3 linked regions of the Caenorhabditis elegans genome follow. The protein of the gene in region 3 purifies or fractionates together with the protein of the main gene of each other region. This does not show direct contact. Each region holds a gene or a part of one and is shown on either strand. Other genes may lie near its edges.

Region 1 (4,500 bases), on a different chromosome or scaffold from region 3:
GGGAGAGACTGGGAGAAGCCTTGCGTGGGTTGACTTTGCGGGTCGACTTTTCTTGGAAACTGGGTTGACGTTTTTTGGAAAGGTTCTTGAAAATTTTTGATTTACCGCAGAGAAAATTATGGATTTTGTTTGATCATGAGAGAATACATTTCCCGACTTTTATCTGAAAATATCGAAAAAAAAGGTCGGAAACCGATTATTAATTTTTTTTTGAACTCCCACTTTTTTATAAGAACAGAGAAATCGATTTTAAAAAAAGCATTTTCCCTAAAAACTTTTTAAAAAAAGCAAAACTTTCTATTTTAATGGCTCTGAATCTCTGTTGCTCGGAAGTTAAAAAAAATCAAATTTTCGGTGCTATTCGAGCAAGATCCATTCCCAAATAAAAAAAATCTCTCACAATTCAGCGATATTTCGGAGTTTTTGAGAACATTTTTTACTAAAACCGCCTTTTCTTAGTACAGTCGTACCGAAAATAATATTTTCTGCACCTGTCCCAGGTGGCAAACAAGAATCAGAGATCTAAAGACTTGGAAGTGAACCTCACATTAAGATCCCTCCAGGAAACCTTCGGAGCTCTCGTCTTGATTCGCTTCTTCCTTCCTACTTTTCGTTTTTTTTTGCCCACAAAATAGTCATCGAAGAAGAAGAAGAAAAGATGAGATTTTTGCCCCGATGCGAGATGCCTGGTGAATAGTGTGATCTTCGTGGAGAGATGTCTCGCTGATCTCTCCTTGATTGCCATTTCACTATATCTTCCACCCCGAAGTCTGTGGACTCCACTGATCTCCGCATCTCTCGTCATTGAGTAAAAGCATTGGCAGAAGAGAGAACAGAAGAAGGAGGAATAAGAAGGAAGAGATATCTCCACAGTGGGTGCCTGTGCTTTTTCTTCCCGTCGGCTGTGCTCCTAGGAGTGGAATGCCGAGAAAATGTGCGATTGAAGTGGCACGCGGGGAGGATAGAGAAAGAAAATAAAGATATTGAAAGGGAGAATAGAGAAACATACGTTTACAACGAATTAATCGAGTTCGGCAGCCAACACGGGAAAAATGAACTTGTGAAGATGTGTTAAAACACAAAGATCTTATTAATTATTGAAGAGGGAGGAAATAAAATAAATTAACATTTCGAGCATTGGGGTACTGTAGACCTATTCCGTAAACAGAGAAACAAAATGGTTTAGCAGAATTCGCGGACTGAGGCGAGAGGCAGGCGGAGGTTGCCTTAAGGTCAGGCAGGCAAGCGTTTTAATGCAAAAGTAATGGATACTTGTTGAGCCTTATAATAATGTGTCGATATTAAAAAACACAAGTATGGATTTTTAACATAAAAAAGTTAAAAGACGCATGCTTAAATATTTTATAGGATAATTTGGTACTCCTTAAAACTCAGTTTGTATAAAAAAACGATTCGATGAGAGTATAATAGATTTCCAATGTAACTTAATAAATTTCTTGTTTTCCAGGTCGACGTGTGCACTGGATGCGGAGTAATCGGCTCGAAGGGTTGGTGCCAAAAGTGTCGTTCGAGCAAGTCAATGGCGAACATTAAGATTCCGTATGCGTGTAAGCTGCTCTTCCAGGAACTTCAATCCATGAACATTGTCCCGAGGCTGGACTTGGCCAGATACACCGAATAACCTTGTTTTGTAATTGTTGTTGTTGTTGTTATGCTTCTTCTTTCCCCTTCCCAAATCATTTTTTAATCTATTTTTTACTTGTTCCCCGAAATTTGAACATTTTTTGTTGTTTTTTTTGTCATACATTCATTCTTAAACTTATCATGAAAATTTTCTAGAAAATACTTGTTGAAACAGTACGCCGCGCTTTCTCGCTCTCACATCCCACATCTCGCCACTCTATCTCTTGAGCATTACATCCCTCTCTCTATCTCTCGGGCTCCCGAGGGGTGAAATAGTGTACTCGCGCGGGAGTGCGGGAGCTCAATATCCGCCCCAATCCGCCCCCATCCTCTACGAAGAGTCACACACAGTTTACACTTGGGTTGCCACTGCTCTGTCGCCTTCACTCAGTTTCCACACTCAGTCCCCCCTGCTCTGCCGCCGCTGCAACACTCACACATCATCACATAATGGCTCCACCATCCCAAGGTGAGTAATTTTTTAAGCAATGTCCCCAGCTCTTAGGGATACCTTATAAGGTTTTAGGACTTCTAAAACATTTTATTTTTAGTTTTTTTTTAATGTTTCAAAAATATATCCAATTCCCCAAATATATCCCTACAATCCCAAACATTTTTTCAAACTTGAAATCGTTCTAGACGTGCTCAAGGAGATCTTCAACCTCTACGATGAGGAGCTTGACGGCAAGATCGACGGAACCCAAGTCGGAGATGTCGCCCGCGCCGCCGGACTTAAGCCAACTCAGGCTATGGTGACAAAGGCCGCCGGACAGGAGTTCAAGCGTAAGGGAGAGAAGAGACTTACATTCGAGGAGTGGCTCCCGATGTACGAGCAACTCGCCAAGGAGAAGGTACGGTATTTTAAACATCTTGCCTGTGCCTTTAACCTTTAGCTGAGAGTTTTTTGAGATTTAGGGATCTAGGGGCCTCGCGCCAAACCTTTAACTCCCGCACCGAGTGATAATCAAACAAAGAAGATGAAGCTTGAGATTTGTTTTATTTCAAGGTCTAAGTAAATATTGGATCTCAGAGGTTAACCCCATACAGTACCCCTAGCCGAAAACTTTTAAATCACAACTAAGGGTCTGAAAAATCTGAACATCCTCTTCCACCGGCACATGCCAGCCGATCCCTAGAACTTTAGAGAGATAGGCGGCGGCGGCTCCCGTGAAGCATGTGTGGGAGAGGAGCACATAGGACTCTCGAGAATCTCTCTTGGCACACACAAACACACACATAGGCACAGTGTAACAATAGAGAGCATCATCATTCTGCGTCTACTGGGTCCTTGTTGTAGATATTTGTATGGATAGGAAGTAGTAAGGAATAGGCAAGGGATCTTGAGTAAGGATCCCCATATACGGGTAAAAGAATGGAGTGAGTATATATGAAGCTTCTAGGAGCTATTGAGTTTTGGAAAGAGCTGCCAGCTCAGACTATTTAGTGGAGGTTTAAGGTAAAAAATCCTGTAGATCTTTGATTGAATTCAACTAGGGCATTCTCTGGACCCACAACCGTCAGTATTTTGAAAGCTTTAAGGCAACCAGTTTCTTAGAAAAGATTCAAAACAGCACATGGAGATCTTGAAGAGCCAATAGAAACCTACGAACTGAGCTCAGAAGACTGGACAACTCATAAAGTTTGAAATAGCAAGTTTGGCCAGATATTTTGGGAAACACATTTCGCTTTCGTTATTAAATAGTCTGCGAAGTTTACCTGAGCACATATCTACTCAAATTTGACAATCTGAAAGTCAGTGTCTAACGAATTTTGGATAGAATCCTAAGCGAAAATCAGAGAGTTCTCTGGAGCTTCGGGATGGAATTAGCTGATGTTCGAGGTTACTGTCACCTGAATAGGGAATGATTTATGTTTACTGGAGTTAGATGCCTACCTTAGGGTCCGCATGTAGAGCAGATCATCATTCATTTAACATTGAGATTATAAACTGAGAAAATTGTTCTTTCCAATATAAATTTCCAATTTCTTCAGGAGCAAGGAACCTACGCTGACTTCTACGAGGGACTCAAGGTGTTCGACAAGGAGGAGACTGGAAAGATCTTGGCCGCTGAGCTCAGACACATCCTCTTGGCTCTCGGTGAGAGACTTTCCGCCGATGAGGCCGATGAGCTCCTCAAGGGAGTCGAAGACGGAGAAGGCATGGTCAAGTACGAGGGTAAGCCGATTTTTTTTCTTCTCGGAAATTTTTTTTAATTGAAATTTATTTCAGATTTCATCAAGAAGGTTTTGGCCGGACCATTCCCAGACCAGGACTAAATTTTTGGATCTGAATCTGTGCTACACCCATTATAATGTTTAAATTTTGAAAAAAAAAACACCATCTTCTCTTACCCAAATTTTTTGCTCCCCTTTCCCTTCTCTGCCTTCTTTCTCCCCGTTCCAAATAACGATGTTTTACTTTTTTGTCTATAAACCCATCGTCTAGTCGCTCGTTTTCTTCTACGCTATACACGTAAGAGATTCCACTCGCGTGCGCGCATTCCGTTTTCTGATCCAGAAAACGTTTTGCACTTTAAAAATCAGCGCGCGGTTTTCTCTTCTTTTTCTCCAACACATTCAAGCCTGTTTCTATGATCAAGAAATTTTCTTTCTTTCTTCATTTTACACTTTTTTATTCAGAAATTCATTCGTTTCTTATATTCGTTCTCCTTTTTGGATTATAATAAAAAACCTTTTGAATAATTATGAAATGGAAATTTTGGTATAGTACATGTAGTAAGTTGAAAGGCTGCTAGAAATATCAGCTTTTGAGTCGATGACCTGATAAAAACAAACTGCCAGTTTGATTTTTATCAATTGATTTATTTTCCGTCTACTGTGCAAGAACGGTAGCTT
Region 2 (3,975 bases), on a different chromosome or scaffold from region 3:
CTCTAACTCGCTGCTTCTGGTCCTTTTCTTCTCAATTTCCATCGGACTAGGCGGAATTTGTTGGTGTGGATTTTCAGTAAATCATCTGGATTTGGCCCCACAGTATGCTGGACATTTGATGGCCACGTCGAACACATTTGCGACAATTCCTGGAATTTTCGGACCTCTTCTAGTTGGAGCAATTGTGCAAAATGGGGTAAGCTTACAAGCCAGAGAAACTAAAAAAATTTACCTGTTTTTAGACAATCGGTGAGTGGAACGTGATCATGTACATCATAATATCTGCTTATCTGCTCGGAGCTGCAATTTTTTGGAAGTTCGCCGACGCTACCCTACAACCATGGGCCGCAGAGCACACTTCCTTTGTCGGACAGCTGGAATAGATGGTCAACATATCTAACTTTCCCACATTTCCTTTCTATTAGAAGCATAATTGATCTTTCCCCACAGAGTTTTTCCTTATTTTTTTTCTAGCTTTCAGAATTTTGAGGCTGAACTCCTTCAAAGAACACAATGAAAGTCTGGATGTTGAATTGAGACATTGTTTATTTTACATATTGAAAGTACATCGTAGAGCTTTGACTAGTCCCGATATGGGAGAATGTATATGCACCACAAGTAACTGCTCAGAGAAAATCTAGAAGAAGTTTGCAAATGTTTTGGAATACCAAAGTAATGAAAGTGGGTGAACACAAAAAAAAAATGACAAAACATGTAATGAAATGACAATAGAATTTGCGAGCGAGAAAAAAGAAGGAAAAACCATTTGGAGTGATAGAAGTGTGTACGCGCAGTCAGACGGCGTGGTTAGGAAATTGGGGTTGCCAGATGGCTTCGAAATGACGTTATTCTTCCCACTGGTGGAAGAAGTTGGTCAAACCAACCGGCAACCACACATTTCCAGGTGATTATAATGATCTCGGCTATAAAACTAAGGGTAAAGAGCGGCGAAAATAGAAAAATGCGCGCGGAATGGGTTAGAGCGCCGTCTGAACGCTGCGCCACACGGAATGACAACAATGAGTCTTGAATACACGGCGATGTATCATAGGAGCACGTGGAAAGGTCTTCAAATGAGACACCGTAATGGATTCTAGAATAACGTTGACGCCACTCCCAAAGTGGTTGCAATTGCTTGTGGGCTGGAGATGTTCAGGCGCTGGCGAGCTCGTCTTGGGCTCCGGTGGTAATGAGGTGAGCGAAGGCCTTGTAGTCGACCTCTCCTCCCTCGATTGGTGGCTTTCCCTAAAAAATGAGGAGTTGGGAAGTTTCAAAAATTTCAGAAAGAATGAATTTACCTTGTACATAGCCTTGACCTCATCCTCGTCCAATGGCTCTCCTCTCTTGTTTTGAAGGATCTTGATAAGGTCGTCCTCCTTGATCTTTCCGCAGTCCTTCTTGTCGAACATGGCAAAGGCTCCAATAATGGTGGCCTCTGGGTCAGTTCCTGAAATTAAATAGATTCAAATCACCATTAACTTATCAAATTTAATTAGCCTACCTGTCAATCTCTCTCCGAAAAGGGTGAGGAAGACGGTGAAGTTGATTGGTCCGGAAGCCTCTTTAATCATGGCGTCGATCTGGCTGTCTGGGGCGATTTGTCCCATGGAAGCGTAGAGATCCTTGAGGTCAGACTAAAAATTGTTGATTAGAACCATTAAAAAAATAAGAAAAATTCTAACCTTGTCAATTATTCCGTCCTTGTTCTGATCCATGATTCCGAAAGCCTCCTTGAATTCCTGGATGGTCTTCTGGTCGAATTGGGCGGCCTCGGATCCCGAGCGCTTCTTTGAGGACTTCTTCTTGGCGGCCTTGGACTGGAAAATTGAGAACATATTGACAATTTTATAGTCGATTTAATTGCTTGATTTTTAAACAAAGCCTAAATCTAAATGTTACGTTCTTAATTTACCAGAAATTTTTTAAAGATGAAACTGATTATAGAACCTCTGATTCAAAATAAATAATTTTTTAAATACAATATAGACAGGTTAAATCAAAATATATATGAACGCACTCCTATTCCTATACAGAAACTCATGCTTTTCAAATAACTTATTAAAAAATCCAACTCACCATTTTGTGGACTGTACTGAGTAGTGAACTGAGACTAACTGAAGATTATCCGTCGCTTTTGTCTGCCTTTTACACTCGTTGGGCCCCGCGTCGAGGGGAGGGCTGTTTGAGCAAATCTCAACAACTTTACACAAGAGGCGCACCGCCCCCGTGGTGCTAACATCAGGCACCCGTCGGAGGTTTCCAAGAAGATGGGCAAAACTCTCGCCTTGCTTGCGTCGCGATGCCTCTTACCCGCCATCGAAAAAGTTGCTCGATCGGATAAATGAGGGGATGCAATAAGGGAAAGGGAATAGATCATCCGAGCTTTAAATCTGAGCAGGGCACAACATAATCAGAATTTGTTTTGAGTTGGAAAGGAAGGTTTAAATTCAACATTTCCAACAAACAGGATAATTGAAAACTTGAAAATCTGAAACTCTTTTGTTTTGGAACTTGATTATAAATTTTAATTTTCATAACATGACTAAATGGGACATACTGAATTTATCAGATGGTTCCAGTAATATCTGTTTATAATATTTCACTAACGATAATTTTTTTTGACATATATTTTTCTGGTATAAATTATAATTTTCCTACTAATTGTTTCAACTACTTGTGAAATCTATTTGTATAGTTTTTTTTCAAGTTTTGTTAAAATGAAATAATTAATCGGGCGTATTTTAAGATAGGATGAAACAGAGCAAATATTGATTTTCACACAATCTTCAAAGTTTTGACATACGCAGTGATTTTTGATTTTAGGATTTGCAGCTATTTTTGAAATCAATAATTTTGATGTCATTGAATAACAGACAAAAATTGTGTTTCGAACTATACTCTCATTGGAGACAATTCAGAAACGATTCAGAAAAAAAAACCTTCCATCAGAATTAGTGTGACAAGAGGTTCTTACTCATATCCTAAATTAACAAGGATAACTTTTTTGATTCCTCAACTTTCAAACTTTTTCATCTGATTTTCTATTGAGTGTTCTGTCTACCAGTGCTCTTATCTGAAAACAGCTTTTAAGATAATGCGTCAGCTGGCAGAAACGCTTTTAATTTTGCTTCCTGTTTGTTAACTTATTTTTGAAACGTTTTACTTCGAAAAGAGTTAATTTTTTGGTTTGTTTGTAAATTTGAAAAAATCATTTAATGTTTATTATGAGCGTATTACAAATGTTCGTAAAAGTTATTATTATTATCACTCCACAATTTCCGTTTGTAAAATGAATAATTGAATTTTTTTTTCCAATATACATCAAACAAAATTGTGAAAAAATTGCTTTAACGAAATTGAAGCATAAACAATAGTTCTAATTCCAATTACAACAATTTGTGTAAATCAAATGTTTCCTCTGAAAACTTCAAACAGTAAACCATTAATGTTTTGAAAAGTACGATGATGGTCTGGAAAACGCGCTTTGAAAATTTGTTACAACACGTTAGAATCACAAGTTCAGATTAGCTGTCGCCTCTAAAAATCAATTGTTGAACAATGTCTTCTTCAATTTTTTGATAATCAGCAAGCACAACTACTAGAAACAAAATATACAATTTTAAAGTTGGCAAAGAAACATTGGATACAATTTTCCAGTCGCTTGGCATTTTTGTTGAACATAATTTCAATTTTTCGAAAAATTTATGTTTTGTAATGTTTTATTTTGATTTCCATACTTATGAAGTAGTAAAGATTTCTACTGGGCTCATGAGATACAAAACAATCTGAACATTCAATTTTTTATCTTCGGAAAAGTTCTTGCTAGAAAAACAATAAAAACCACTTATAAACATTCCTTTCAATTGTTCTCTTTTTACGAACTTGTTAATTTGTCTTCAGCCATTAGAAACAATATTCGATGTTACATGTTTTCATTCAACATTCAAAGTTATATTCTTTCTAATTCCTATTTTG
Region 3 (4,559 bases):
TAGTGCCGCATGGCGAAGTGAGCTTCTCCTTGCTTTCCCTTTGGTGGCTTTGGCTTCTCGAAGTTTGGATGCTTGCCAAGATGTTGATCGACAAGCTTGGAAGCGAGGGTCAAATCAGTAGCCTTTGGTACGATACACTCTTCATCAAGCATGGAGATAATACCGAGTGGCTGAAAAATAAGAATTGATCAAAATACATTTAAAATTTCAATTCAATCTTACCTTCTCAATAAGTTCGATACACGCTTGCAAATCAAGTCCGAAATCGATGAAGACCCATTGAATACCCTCACGGGCGTATTCTTCCTGTTCAAGGACGAACATGTGATGGTTGAAGAATTGTTGGAGCTTCTCGTTTACGAAGTTAATCCACAACTGCTCGAAGGAGTTGAAGTCGAAGATTTCGAAACCGGCGATATCGAGCACACCGATGAAATAATCACGATCAATACCCTTTTGATCCAGAGTGAGGTTACACTTCTTGACAAGCCAGTTGAACACACGGGAGTAGAGACCCTTGGCCATGGCTCCGACAGCCCAATTGACTTGTTCGCAGTTCTGTCCCTTGGATACCCATTCGGTTCCGACCTTGACACGTGGCTTGGTCAAAGCCTTGAGGAACTCCTCGCATCCGATTCCGTACATGTTGGATGCCTTCTCGGCCTCATCGGTACCATCTGGCTCAGCTTGCTCTTCACGTGGGCGTTGCTTGAACTTCATGTTACCCATGTGCATGTGAGCGGACATGAGGCGGTAGCAATCCTGCTTCTCGACGGCAGAGAAGTTGAGGATGTCGAAAGCTTCATCAGTAAGTTGGAACTCTTCGACGTCATCGATTCCGTCAATGATCAACTCGGCCTGGGCGACGAACCAGTAATCCTTGATTGGCAAGTCAAGAAGAAGTTCCTTCTTGAGCTCTGGACGGAAGTCAGAGTAGATTTGGTAGAAGATGTGGTAGCAACGCTCTCCTGGAGCTTGACGGATGACACGAGATTTCTCGAGCAAGTCTGCAAAATTTATAGTTTAAAACAATAGTTGCATAATTTTTATTGAGCTATGCTAGAATATAAATCAAAAAGTAACTCACAATGCTCGATATCGCAAGATGCGAGGCGTCCGTGCTTGTTGAAGTGGATACGGATGAACTTTCCGAAACGGGATGAGTTGTTGTTACGGACAGTCTTGGCGTTACCGAAGGCTTCAAGTACTGGATTGGTCTGGACGATTTGGTCCTCAAGGGTGACCTTCTTCTTATTTGGATCAACTTCAGCTCCACCTTCCTGTTGGGAGGCACCGACAGCGGCGAAGTAGCAAATAACCTTCTTGGTGTTCTCAGTCTTTCCGGCTCCAGATTCTCCGGTAATGAGCATAGACTGGTTCTCGTGGTCTTGGAGCATGTTACGGTAGGCTTCGTCAGAGACAGCGAACAAATGTGGTGGCATTTCTGTCTTTCTCTTTCCCATGAACATACGGGCGCAAGAGTCGGTGTAGATTGGGAGACGCTTGTATGGGTTGATGACAACGCAGAAAAGTCCGGAGTAGGTCTGAAATAGGAAACATTCTAGTTTCGATTTTTAAATACTGCAGGATTCAATCCCTTTGTTTAATTTTATGTTCAGTTGCATTCCCTTTAAGTTCTTCGAAATATAGACCCCTGTTACTTCTAACTTGTGCAATGAATCAAGCAGATCTTCTTCATCTTCTTTTCTTCAAACGTTTTTTCTTAGAAAAATATATCCTCACAATACCTTCTCTCTTCTTTGCCATCCCCAATGGCAGTATCTGATGCAAGGGAGCCTGTGGGGCTCCCGTCATCCACAGTGTAATGTAAGATGGTTCAGAGATTCAGAAGAGAGGCAGAGATAGCCTCATCCCACTCAATTGATGAGAGAATGGGATAGAGAGAAACATTTGAAAACGAGAAGAAAAGAAGATAGAGGGAAGGAGTTTCGGGATTTTATGGGAATTTAGAAGAAGAATATGAATGATTCTCAATGCTTAACTTTAAGTTTCAATGAAACTTACGTAGATGAGCATAGCAGCGTAACGGGAACGCAAGTTATGGAGGACAGAGGCGTCGTTGAGGAAAGACAAGTTGGACATGTCTTCGGTCTTCTCGAACTTTGGTGGATTCATTTCTTGAACCAACTCCTTCTTGAGGGTGACCTGAATCACACTACATTGAAAACCGTAATCATTAGCTTAAAAACGAACCTCATTTCCGCGAGCGGTGACGATGGTGACCTGGTCTCCCTTGGTGGCGGTGATTTCTCCGGCAAGGTATCCCTCTTCTGGATCTGGGATCCAGACGTTCTTCTTGGAGTCATAAGGCTTAGATTGATCCTGAAATTACAATAATGGTACAAAAGAGATCAGAATTCAGAAATATATCACTTCTAAAGAATACCAACTTGTGTTGAAAAATGGTCTAAACCGCTTCACACTTTAGACCCATGAATGGAATGGAATCAAAAAGTAAAATCAAGGTTAAGCTTGTGGTGTAGTCAAAATAAATGTGCCGTCTCAAAATACAGTACTACTGCAGCACAATGTGTCACAAAATTCCAAGTGCAATGCAAAAATTTAAGAAAGGAAGATTTCAATGATTTCAAGGGAAAGATGATCTTGAAGCTAAATCTATGAAAAATTAGAAAACAGAAATAAACATTGATTACAAGGATTACAAGGCAAGCTCAAATCTTCTACCTGAATTTAAAAAATCTATAAGTGTAAAATGGCAGACTTTAACTCAGTTGTATGTTAAAAATCTAGAATTTCAAAAATAAATGCTCAGTTTTGTTAAAATTAGATACTTATGGAGTACTATACGATTTACTCTATAGAAATGAGCATAACAATAAAGACAAATGAAAGAAAAATAAATAAATAAAAAATAAATACTCACCTCCAAAACCTGCTCTCTGGTACGGCGGAGATATTGCCATCCTGGGTCCTTCTCGTGCTCCATGATTTCTCGCTTCTTTCAAATGGTTTCTCTACCTCAAAACTAATGTGGTGCTCCCTTAGTCGAGGTTGATGATGCGAGTGATGAGTGCCTGCTTCTTCCTCGGCAGGAGGATGTTGGCACCCGCAAGCCACGCCCCTCTTTGGGGATTCTACGAGGTGTAAAGCTGTGTGCGGCAGCGGCAGCGGCGGGAGAGACGGGAACCCGGCTTCCCGGGAATACACGAAGCGAGAGACGCCTACGCGTAGTGGAGGGTGCCAGAGAAGATAGTGGAAGTCTCAAGAATTCCATTGGAGCACGAAGAAAAAACCAGGGATAGAGATAGATCGGGAGTTGGTAAGATCGGGAAAAATGAATTCAGAGAGTACGGTCGGTCAACTTTTTTTATAGGAAAGTGCAGAACAGTGATAAAAGGAATAAGATAGAATGTTTACATACAACCAGTGAAAATAGAATACCAGTTTGATTAATGGTTCTTAAACAGATCTTCAGCCTCCTCTTGATAATCTTCCACGGTTCACCACTAGATCTTCAGATTTTAAGCAAATCAATACATTTACGACCTAGTTAACTTGCCTTTGCATTACTCTTTTTACAGAGACCAGTGAAAACCGAAAATACTCACTGCAGTATTCTAAGCGGCAAAGCTCTAATATCAACCCTAAAATTGTTGATCTGAAATTGTTTCAGTGCAGTTTTCCTTTAATTTTTTTTGCAAAAAAATCAAGAAAATTGTTATAACAATTCTTTCAAAAAAAAAATCAAAAAAATTTTTAGACCAATTCTCCAAAAAAATCACAATTCTTTAAAAACCTCCCGGAGTGTTTACCTACACTTCCTGAAAAACTTTCAAAGTTTGCAAAAAAGCATTTAGAGCAATTATGCAGGTCTCTAAAGTAGTGGTTAAATGAGACAATTTCAGATCGATATTTTAGGGGTTGAGAGAAAAGTATTGCTGCTTAAAATTTTGCAGTGACATACCTTTCGTGACATAATCTAAAACACTTCAGATGAAACATGTCTCATTTTGAAGTTTGAGGGTAAAATGTAAAAATTTCCTTGTTAGAAATGCATTACAAATAAAGTCTGCAAAATTGATACTAACCTACTTTGGAGTCGAAGTAAGTTTTAAGACTATTTTTATTGATACGTAGAGGAGAGGGGGGCAAAAATATTTAATATTTGATTACGGTACTGCGATTCAATGCTACAGTAATAATTTTGATCAGATGGATTCGAGGTATATCATTGTGGCGGACAATCGATTTGGAGGCACCTGTAATACTTATCAATTCTACTCATTCGAACTTCAAGTTGCACCAATCAATTTTTCGAGCCTTGGTAACTACTATGAAGTTGTCGCGTTTGCTTTAAAAGGTCTCCTGATAATAGTATCTGTCTAAAAATTTACGAAAAGGCTCATAAATCATTCTCATGATAGTATGTATGTAACTGGATAGTCTTTCCGTTTGCTTTATCTTCTTCAAACATTTTCTTCAGATTTTTGTGCTTCTCCAGCAAATCAGCTTCTCTCCAAATCCCACAATCTCATACTTCATCCTGACGAAAACAATTCGCGGATGCTGTAAGACAA

What was found. Proteins that work in one complex are often made in the same cells at the same time.
Region 1: the proteins of unc-54 (region 3) and mlc-3 purify together in Caenorhabditis elegans (affinity purification with mass spectrometry; 2 studies listed by BioGRID, with this or other methods). This does not show direct contact.
Region 2: the proteins of unc-54 (region 3) and mlc-1 purify together in Caenorhabditis elegans (affinity purification with mass spectrometry; 2 studies listed by BioGRID, with this or other methods). This does not show direct contact.

What each region holds. Positions count from the first base shown.
Region 1 is NC_003281.10:5,563,038-5,567,537, forward strand, and holds mlc-3 (Myosin, essential light chain), read left to right. Parts: upstream 1-1,987; 5' UTR 1,988-2,094; coding exon 2,095-2,113; intron 2,114-2,283; coding exon 2,284-2,495; coding exon of another isoform or gene 2,496-2,537; exon of another isoform or gene 2,538-2,779; intron 2,780-3,636; coding exon 3,637-3,820; intron 3,821-3,874; coding exon 3,875-3,921; 3' UTR 3,922-3,970; downstream 3,971-4,500. Other genes in the region: rpc-2 (DNA-directed RNA polymerase subunit beta), read left to right, coding at 1,469-1,642.
Region 2 is NC_003284.9:17,457,334-17,461,308, reverse strand, and holds mlc-1 (Myosin regulatory light chain 1), read right to left. Parts: upstream 2,100-3,975; 5' UTR 2,080-2,099; coding exon 2,077-2,079; intron 1,818-2,076; coding exon 1,683-1,817; intron 1,635-1,682; coding exon 1,502-1,634; intron 1,448-1,501; coding exon 1,299-1,447; intron 1,246-1,298; coding exon 1,153-1,245; 3' UTR 531-1,152; downstream 1-530. Other genes in the region: slc-17.1 (Sialin), read left to right, coding at 1-196, 243-383.
Region 3 is NC_003279.8:14,860,483-14,865,041, forward strand, and holds the start of unc-54 (Myosin-4), read right to left. Parts: upstream 3,001-4,559; 5' UTR 2,969-3,000; coding exon 2,906-2,968; intron 2,344-2,905; coding exon 2,215-2,343; intron 2,167-2,214; coding exon 2,026-2,166; intron 1,545-2,025; coding exon 1,088-1,544; intron 1,008-1,087; coding exon 223-1,007; intron 171-222; coding exon 1-170. UniProt on the Caenorhabditis elegans protein: Required for muscle contraction.